Linked DNA regions of Drosophila melanogaster. Changing the gene in region 2 together with the main gene of any one other region gives a genetic interaction. Each region holds a gene or a part of one and is shown on either strand. Other genes may lie near its edges.

Region 1 (5,343 bases), 9.4 Mb from region 2:
GAAAACATTTCAATTTCCACTAAAGCGGAAATTGTGGTGTTTTCATTCGCCTTCGAATTCGTTTTTCATAAAACTGATCGCTCTCTCCGATAAAATTGATTTATGCGGCGATCGGCGGCAATTATACGCAGATGCGGTGCCTAATGGATCGGTGGCCGATCGAAAGCTGTTCATGAAGATATAAATGCGAGTGCGCCAGAGCAAGGAGTCATGGGATTCAGTGGTGTAAGTTCACACGACAGGCCAAGCTGAAATTCTGATTGATCTTTAGCTGAAATTGGTTGTATTGAGTCTGCAAGATACAAAAGGATGCGGAAAGAAAATCTTTTAAAAATCCTATTCTAATGGGTGAACTTATTCCCTGATAATAATATACCTCTACCATTTTAAAAAACGGAACATAACTTTTAACTTTTCTAAAGCCAAGAATGATCCATTTTTCTGATATATGAAATAATTGTTAAAAAAAAACAAGTTAGCTCCGAAAGTCAAACCAATGTCAAATGCATACAGAAATCGTTGAAAATGAAATATATAGTCTGAACTGATTGGTCTTAAGCTTTATTTATTGTCCAATATATACATAAAACAAAGAACTAGAACTATGAGGCGTTTTCCTTAGACTACAACATGTATTCTTCTTGAAACTGCAATAAATTAGAGACTCGAATCCTTCGTCCTGCGAGATGTCCACTACATGTGCTGCATCTGTTGCTGCTGTGCATGATGCTGCTGCTGCTGCTGCGATTGCTGCATGGTTGGGGGCCACATCACGTGGTTGGGAATCGGCGGGGGCAGAGAAGTGGGCGAGTCCAGGGGCTCGGACTTCAACTTCAGATGCTTGGCGATGCCCTCGCAGTCGATGTCGCCACGTTTCGATTTGTAGCGCCGATTCTGGAACCAAATCTTCACTTGGGTGGCCGACAGGTTAAGCTTTTGCGCGATTATCTCGCGCTCCGCACCCGTCAGATACTTTTTGAGTCGAAAGCGACACTCCAGCTCCAGGACCTGTGCCTGGGAAAAGAGCACGCGAGGCTTTCGCTTCATCCGGGGCTTGGTGGAACCACTGTTGCTCCCCGGATTGCTGTTCCCACTGATGCTGTTTTTTCGCAGCTCGGAACGCGAGGAGGTCACCTGGCTGTTATCCTCTGAAAGATAGCCAATATCGAGAATATAGTAGAATATAATAGTTATAACTAGTTAAGGGACTAGGCACTAGTTTAGGATCATATTCAAACAATGTTTTACTTTGCCATTACAATTTCATCCATAAATCATCTTTCAATCCTTAAACACTTTGTTGTTTAATTTAATTATATATTGAATTTTTAACTTGACGTTATTTGGAATGAATCTATCTTTGAACCTTAAGAAATTTTATGTTTTTATGTTTTAAAACAGATGAACAACGAATTTGATTTATTAGCCCATTATCCTCATTTTTTATATTCGAAGGCACACTTCCTATGTATGTATGTACATATGTATTCCCCAAATCGTTCTAATTGCTTAATAATTAACATCCATACATTTCATAGATCCACTTCTCCATTAAACAATTAAACAAGATACTCACTTTTTTTGGCGCCCTCATCTGAACCGTAGATGCTCCTTAGGGAGGACGAGTTGCTAGCGGTCTCCATGAGGCGCTGCGACAGGGGATTGACGCACAGCTTCTGCGTCGGAGCTTGCAGGCTGTCCACCTCAGCGGAGCTGTTGAGGTCCAGGGTGGGCGAGGGCGTGACGTATGGCGTGGGTATGTACTCGCTCTTGATGCCCACCGCCGAGGGCGTGGCTCCACCGTACACCTCACCAGATCCGGCGTAGTTGTAGTTGTAGGTGGCGGGGGTCTGGTAGGCCGTGGCCGAGGCGCCGGCGTAGAACTGCGAGGCGGACATGTTGTAGGCCGAGGCGGAGTGCTGGAAACTCTGGTGGGGATGTCCGTGATGGTGCTGGAACATGTGGGCGGGCATACCGTAGTCCTGGTATCCGCCGTACAGCTGGTGCGGCGGGGGTGGCAAGAGTGGCGATAGGGACGACGATGTGGTGGCGCCATCGTCCAAGTGTTGGTGATGCAGTTGCTGCTGCGGAATCGGCAGCTCGGATTGCTGATGCTGCTGGTGGTTGAGGTACTGGTGGGGATTCTGGTACTCACCGGCGGCGAAGAGCGCCGAGGCAGTCGCCGCGCTGCGGGAAAGCAGGAAAATGGAAAAGCGCAAGGTTAGAAACAAGGCAATACAAAGTCTCGTATATGGCCGCCATATGTTGCATCACGGAGGACACAGCCCGGGGAGCTGGGACGAGGACTTTTTGCCCACTTCCTGCTGGCGCGACAGGATCCATGGTGACATCATTTCATGGCTCATCAGGCAATTAAGGACGCCCCTGTGCGGCGGTCCACACATGCGAATCACACATGTTGACCAGCCCAGAAGGGATCGGGCGGACCAGCGATCGCCGTGACTCCCGACTGCCTGCCTCGGACATTGTTGTTCTTATTGTTAACACTGTCTCTCCTCGTCTTTGTCTTCGGCCTCTTGTACAAATAACGATGATTTGTCAAAGCCTCGAGCTCAACGCTCAACGCTTGACGCTCTCCGATCCCAGATCCTATTTGCAATTCATGCTTTCTATGTGTTTTCATAGGATTTCTTCTGCTACGTCTCGGCGGAAGGTTATCAAAATATTATCTTTCTTTGGAAAATTGGTAGAAATTAATTTTCCTATGGAGCCCTATTAAATAAAAATAAATAAAAGCGATCGGGACGGGGAAGGGCGCTGTCTTCGAGAAGAAGTCACTGACAGGTAGAAGTGGTGGAAATGTCCATGTATGCCAGTTGATAGCTAAAAATGGCTCAACTAACAGTTGGTCTCTCTCTGAACTGCACAGATACCTTCTTAAATCATTGCAATTTAGATAGTTAACCGGTATAATAATTAGTTTTATATCATATATGTACACTGATTCGATTTAGTAGATTTTGGTAACATGTAGAACACAGTACCTTGGAACTAGTCTATTGGTGTACCCCAATTTTTAGTTGCTTTTGACCCTTAATGTATAATTGATTCAAAACTTCCAAGCTTACCCATCGATATGCCCGTAGGAACCTTCGTAGGCCTCCGTTTGGTTGACCATGTTCAGGATATCCTTGACCGAAAATGGAGTGGTGTTCAGGGCATCCGCGTTCGTCAGGCTGCCCGGACTGGGGGACTGAGTGTAGTGATCGTAGTAGCCACCCGATTGAGCCTGCTGCTGATGGTGCTGCAACATCCTCGCTGTGCGATCACTTGGCCACTTGAGAAGCACTTCGATTTAAATAAGTCCAACAATTTGCCAAATCGCACTTGAACTTGCGACACTTGAATTGGAATCTCGGTAGTCCAGTAATCGAGCAAACACTCCACGCAACCGTTAGCGCAACCGTAAGTGAGTCGTAGCCCGTAATCGGCAATCAGTAGTCCGTAACCCGTAAGCCGTAAAGCGCCGTTCCGATGCGCACTCGACCGTGTCTGCAATTTGTCAGCTCGATTTTGGTACTGAACGCGTACTCCTTTCACCCCAGACCGCCTCATGCCACTGTGTTTTTGGATGTGTGTGAGCGAACTGAGCATACGGGCAAAATGGCCGCCCCGGAGCCAATCACAGCACAGCATCGGAATGCGAGTGCGGCATCTCGCTCTTCTGCGCTAGAGATGTGCGAGGCTGTCATATGCTTAGGAGATTTATAAAATATGTATCCAAATATAAAAAACTAATTTATGTATTACATTTGTAAATTTAATCTAATAGCTTAAGAATATATATGGTATTGACAATATATTTTAAGTTCTGTCCATCACTAATTCCAAACATGTATGCTTGTATGCATGTATGAAAGTATCTTTGCACAATCGCACACATTGTACCTGACTATCAGATTCAATAACCGACTCCTCCAGCTGCTCCCCGTTGTTATTAGTTGTTTGTTCGCAGCCACTTTATGCTGATTTTGTTTCGCTACTTGAGCTTAAGTATCCGTATTTATTATCGTAAAGTCCTTAAGTTTTATAGTCCCCATGTATTTACGTTTGTCCGCGCGTCTTGTGTATTAAACGGTTGTCAAGTGGCGCTCAAGTGCAGATTTTCGCACACTTGATTTTAAGAGTGTACTAAGCTAACAAATAAATAAATCGTGGGGAATATGTTTGGTTTAAACGTTACGCTCTCATATATTATTGTTTATTTCACTTGAAACTGTTATGATTTAATAGAGATGAATAACATGGATATGTGAAGTTGTCTAAATAGAGCAACATTTTTAATAATATTTCGCCTTTATGGGATGAATACCTTCATTTCGAATCTTGGCATTGCACCAAAAACGTGTTCACATATGTATATAATTGCATATGTAGTGCATATGTACATACAGTACACAGATATACATATTATGTACATACATATTTTGTTTGGTATGTTTAAGAACTTTTAGCGAATATTTGCCTTTCTTATAATCCTATTAAGTCACTTTTTTTTTAAAAATATAGTGCCCTTGTGCATTCAGAGTGTAGGGTTTACGTAGTGACGATGCGCTCCATAAGAGTTTGTCAGAGTTATAATGAATTCCGCTAGAAAATAATCCTCCATTCGTAAAAAATCGAAGGCCCAGTTTAAAAAATAGGAGAATTTAAAAAAGTTAAAATTTTTCTGTTTATCTTATGAATTTTATTCTAGTTGTGCTAGTTTGACTGCTAGTCTTTAAACTCGTTAATTTGTATTTTGTTTTATTTCATTTAAAATAAATTAAACATTAAGCTAGACAACAAAACTGTTGTGAAATAAGAAATTTCGTCATAACATAAATACATCGTATACTTAGGCCGATATTTTCTTAGTCCTACAACCTTTTTTAACACACCCGCAAACTAAAATCCTACAGCATATGTAAACTAAAGTATGTAAAAGTTTTCAAAAAGTTATGAACTTAATTATGTGATTTTCGTACTAACATTTAAAAAAAAAATATCAAAGCACATCAACTATCAATATTCATAAAAGTATTTCGATATAAATATTTTAAGCTATCGATATATTGTCACTTTTTGTTTTGCCATCGCCAGCAATCTCGTCGCCTGGTAACACTTCTAATTTTCACGTCAAAGAACTCGGACGCGTTCTGCGTGTCGGCCGCGCTAGCAAAAAACTCTGGCTTTAGTTAGTTATTTTATTGGAAAAATATTTAGTCAAGAGGTGAGTAATGGCGCCCCAAGTGAATATACACAGTAGGTTGCGGTCATTAAGCGAGATAAATGTAATTTACACACACGCACACACAGACAGACGCGTGAAAATTTCCCAGT
Region 2 (4,639 bases):
CTGCCCTTTGGCAACACCTTTTTTAAGGGGGTGTTGCAAGGGTTGGGTGGCAGGGGGCACCCTTTTGTTTGCGCCGATTTTTTGGCACTTTTTTTTCGGGGGATAGCACGGGTAGCAATTGTTGTCTCGTGGAGAGCGGCGGGCATTAAATAAATAAGAAAAAATATATTCGCAAGGAGGCGGGCTGCATTCCGTGCAATTTTCACTTTACAACTGTTTCAAAGTTATCTTTGTTTCAATTGTGTGCACGACGGCGGCAAAAAGCGAGCAGCAAAAAATATTGGCAAACAATTTACTTTTTGGCCAAAATGCGAAATAAAAGTAAAATGTGGCAAATAATTTGCCCAAAGCTGCGGCAGGTTGAACACGGAATAAAGGGAATCTGCAGCAGGATATCAAAGAGGACTTTCCCCTCATTGATTTATTGTCCTTTTGTGCTGGTTGCAAATGGGGAGCTTCCTTTTTTTTTTTTGCTCTGTAGCCTGGCTCAATTGCAATTTAAAGACACAGTCTGTTTATTTTGGGCAAAGTCGGGCCGAAGTCTCCAACTCCACTTGAGATAGGCATCGGCAAAATTAATCATCTTTGCATGCCAGTTGCCAGATAGTTTGTGGGGCCAAGTTTGTTTAATTTCGATTACCAGCTGACGGGGCAGAGTCCTGTGCCCGGTGAAAGATGCAGGATGAGCCGGCCAGGAGTTATAAATGGCAGCACCGACAGCACCAGCATATAAAACTGACATCCACTGACAGCAGCCAAAATGATTAATTAGACAGGAGGCAATCTTGTTGCTGGTGGAACACACACACTAGGTAGGTATTCCCAATCGAAGATGCAAATGTCAGATAAATGTTTAATTTCTGCTCAGGGCTTCGATGGGCGAAAATGGGAATGGAAATTGGCGCTGATTTATACATAGAGTATATTTAGAGTATATTTAGCTAAGGGGCGTAGTCGAAGGTGATAACAGGCGACAGGTTTTCGCCAGGGCGAAATCTTTGATTTACGGCATTTTGGAGCCGTTTCGAAATGCGACACAACACACGCCGAGCAGCCGGAAAATTAGTACAACTTGACTAGCTGGCTGGCTGACTAGCTGGCTGGCTGGCTGGCGTTTTCCCCCGGCTTTTCCAAAAGCCCAGCGAACAGCATTTCGTATGTAGCCGGCGATTAATATCCATCGCAGTCGCAGCTGCCCAGCGCCATCAAGCAGCTCGGTTTGCCCAGGGAAGAGACGGAAAACAAGCGGAAAGTATATGGATCGAAGATATGTGGGCCAACCTGTGCGCAGCCATCTCTGATCGATTAGCCAAACTATCGTGTTCGAGGGCTTTTAGTTCCGCCCACAGAGAACGGAGCTGCTTAAATAGCCATAAATTATAATTTATGGCAGCGGTGTTGCCACCGTTTCAACCGTTTCCACCGAACATGTGCAATTAATCCGTCTCTTTAGCTGGCTTATCAATTGTCAGAGTCGGAGGAGTGGAGCACCGAACGAATCGTGGGCGTTTCCCCAGCATTGCGCCATCCCCAATGCTCCCCAACTAAGCGTTTTCAATTAATTTCGGCTCTTTCTCACACCTTCCATTTCAACCGATGAGCTCTGCCCACTGACAGTTTTATGCTTTGTTTACACTCGATAAACAGAGTGGCAAGCGACCAGCAATATGGCCATAAAACAGGTTCTTAAATGGAGGTGCGGCATCGCGGTAATGGTGTTGGCCAAGTTAGCTACCTGTCGTCTGCTGTTTCAGCCTGCGCATGCGGTTTTCCTGGTCAGGGGTAGCTCTACCTGGTTCTCGGTGGGTGGAGATTACTGGCAAGGCGGCGGTGCTGTTTCGGCGGTGCCAACAAATCAAATTGAGATGTGGCTGCAATTGGTCGGCCACTGGGAGGAACAGAGAGGTGGCTATGCTATGCAATGCAGGGAATAATGCCATTATTCAAGATCGACTGGCCGACTTTCATGTGTGAAGAGCGTGATATGACCAATAGATATAAGAAATCGAATGATCTGCCATGTTAAACCGTACTAATTTTAACTATATTGTAGTTTTAGCTCATGGAAAAGGACTTTCGTAGCTGAAAACCAGCGAATGATTATAGTTGAACAACAATAAGTTCTTTAAGTTCTCAAAGCGTATAGAAGTTGCACAAAGTGACCCAGTTTTCTCTCAGTGTGCTGATCGGGCAAACTTTTTCGGTTTCGGGCTCGCTCTCTCCTTTTTGAGAACCGGAGCCCGTTCTCTGCGTAGGAGTAGGTAATGGTAATTCGAGACCTGCCTCGATCCTTACTCGCCGTTTATGAGTTTGTTTTTCTATAGCTACTCATTCTTATGATCCCCTGAAGGTGGAGACCACACATATACCCAAGATGGCGGATGGTTTCTGGGAAACTGCTAAGCTTGCATGTGGGGATCTTCAAATCGAAGCTACCGAGTCTTGGCGCGCGAATCACTTGAACACAAAGTTCTATGGCACGGCTGATTGGTGATAATGGAGGCGGTTTGCGGATGAATCACCCGAGATCTGTGCTCCAGATCCGCGTTCTGATCACTTACACTGCATGGCGAAGGGGGAGGTGGAGGGCATGCTCTGCTGAATGATGGTATCCTCTTGGCCGAAACGTGAAGACGACGGCGCCAGACAGGACAACATTTGGAATGCTTGTTGCAACACTTGCTCTACTTTGATGCGGATAGTTTGTTTGGCTAGTTGGCTAGTTGGCTAGTGGGTTCTTCTGGGCTCGGCGTTATTTCTTTCTTATAGAGCACACACGTGTTGTGGCGGCCATTTGGGCAAGGGCCTTGGGTTTTTTATCTTTCGAACATGGGAAACACTGGGATTTTTCTTCGCGATGCGCCGCTGCGAGTGTCGCGTTTGTTTTTATTTTGTGGGCGATTTCACTGATCTGCGTTCTATATCTGCGTGATTCTACTGTGTGCTGCTCAGAGTTTTCTCTGTGGGTGAGCGACGCGTGTGCTGCCGTCGCGACGTCTACGATGCAACTGAATTCAGAGTTCTAAGTTTCGAAGCATCAAGCCAAATCCGAGAACGAAACAGAGACCGACGTCCTCTACCGAATCCGTCGGATGCGAACTGTGAGTTTCGGGCGAGGGCGATACGGCGGGGTTCTACGTTTCCACGGAGAGCGAGTGAGAGAGGGCGGCGCTGTTTGTGTGTGTGCTCCGTGCCACCACCAGCATAATATAACGGTGTAACGGTTCACCGTTCCGATGTACGAGGTGATTCGGGCGGGGGTAGTGTGGTTGGTGCTCTAATGCTCTGATGGGTGGTGTGTTGGTGGTGGTGCCAGAGAAGCGAGAGCGCTTCATTCTTAACATAACAGCTCTCTGTTATCGCATATCGTAAATGTTAAGCGCTGTTAGTGCCGCTCCTCTCGGTTATCCCGTGACGTAAGCACTACGTAAGGGTGGCCTCTTTTGTTCATCGTGCTGCTCGTAAACATATGGCCGTTATGCGGGATTTGACTATATTAACATTTGCACAAAATTTCGTTTTTATTGATAAAGCGACTTATGAGTCTTTCCATTAACTTTTCCGCCAACCGTCAAATTTATTTCGGTGTTATTTTATTAATACTCTGTGCTGCTGGGTATCAATATTAAAGTGTAGAGCTTAAGTGATTTACATATTTAATTGTTATAATTAGGAAATATTTTTAATAAACAGTTTAATACTCAACAATAAATAGGAATTATCTGAAATTCCCAGAATTGAACAGCAATAAGATAGTTTAATTATATACTTGTATTATAATTTTTTAAGTCTTTCCGGTAAATCAAGTTTATGACAAAATATTCCCCGTGTGGGAATTACACACATATGTATGCATATCGCTATGATTAATTCCCCACTCAAGAAAGCTTTCGATCGTTTTTCTTTCGGGTAAATTTGGCGGTGCGAGATAAAGGGGATTTCTTTTTTCCAGGGAATCCCTTAACCCTTTCCTGGCCACATCGCTGCGTTAACGGACAAAATCATTTGCACTTGCGATTGCAAAATTTCCTCTGCTGCGATTTCCGAGTAAGAAATACCGAAATCGTTCCGCGATTGCCACACATTAATGACATCGTTTGCTGATGGGCGAGTTCTTGAGAATGTCCATCAATGGACACGTCTACAAAATGACAGAAGAACAGAGATCCAAGAGATCCCGGACAACCGAAGAATTCTAACGAAGAGAGCAGAATGCGAGTGGCTTGATTCTTTGGCTCCATCAACAAGTTTTGGCGGCCCCTTGGGATGTTGCTTTTTTTGTACTTTATATTTTGCTGCTCAAAGAAACATATAGATTTGAAAACTAAAAGTATAAATGGATAAAAAGATATTTATGGTAACAGAAATTGTGTTATCGAAAAAAAAAGCGAAACATGCTCTCTTTGATAAAAAGCAAAAACAAAAGGCGGACTCGACAACATAATAAACAATTTGTACATTAATTTTTAATGCGGTTAACATGTGTTCCCCCTTCTCCCTCACACACCCATACACTCACAAACGCGGTCGCTACGTGTGTGTAAGTGTAAAATAGGTGGAGCTTCATAATTTTCTCACTTGAAACGTACTGCCATGAGCGGGAAAGAGAGCGCCGGCGGTGCAAGCGAGAGAGAGGGAG

The links. A genetic interaction does not mean that the proteins touch.
Region 1: of zfh1 (region 2) and tin, changing one enhances a phenotype caused by changing the other (phenotypic enhancement), as found in Drosophila melanogaster (one study listed by BioGRID).

What each region holds. Positions count from the first base shown.
Region 1 is NT_033777.3:21,377,178-21,382,520, reverse strand, and holds tin (tinman), read right to left. Parts: upstream 3,545-5,343; 5' UTR 3,275-3,544; coding exon 3,090-3,274; intron 2,188-3,089; coding exon 1,577-2,187; intron 1,149-1,576; coding exon 694-1,148; 3' UTR 551-693; downstream 1-550. UniProt on the Drosophila melanogaster protein: Required for the development of heart and visceral muscle; for the formation of somatic muscles. Has a crucial function in the early mesodermal subdivisions.
Region 2 is NT_033777.3:30,764,303-30,768,941, reverse strand, and holds the start of zfh1 (Zn finger homeodomain 1), read right to left. Parts: upstream 3,017-4,639; 5' UTR 2,659-3,016; coding exon 2,562-2,658; intron 1-2,561. UniProt on the Drosophila melanogaster protein: Involved in the development of the embryonic central nervous system, embryonic mesoderm and adult musculature.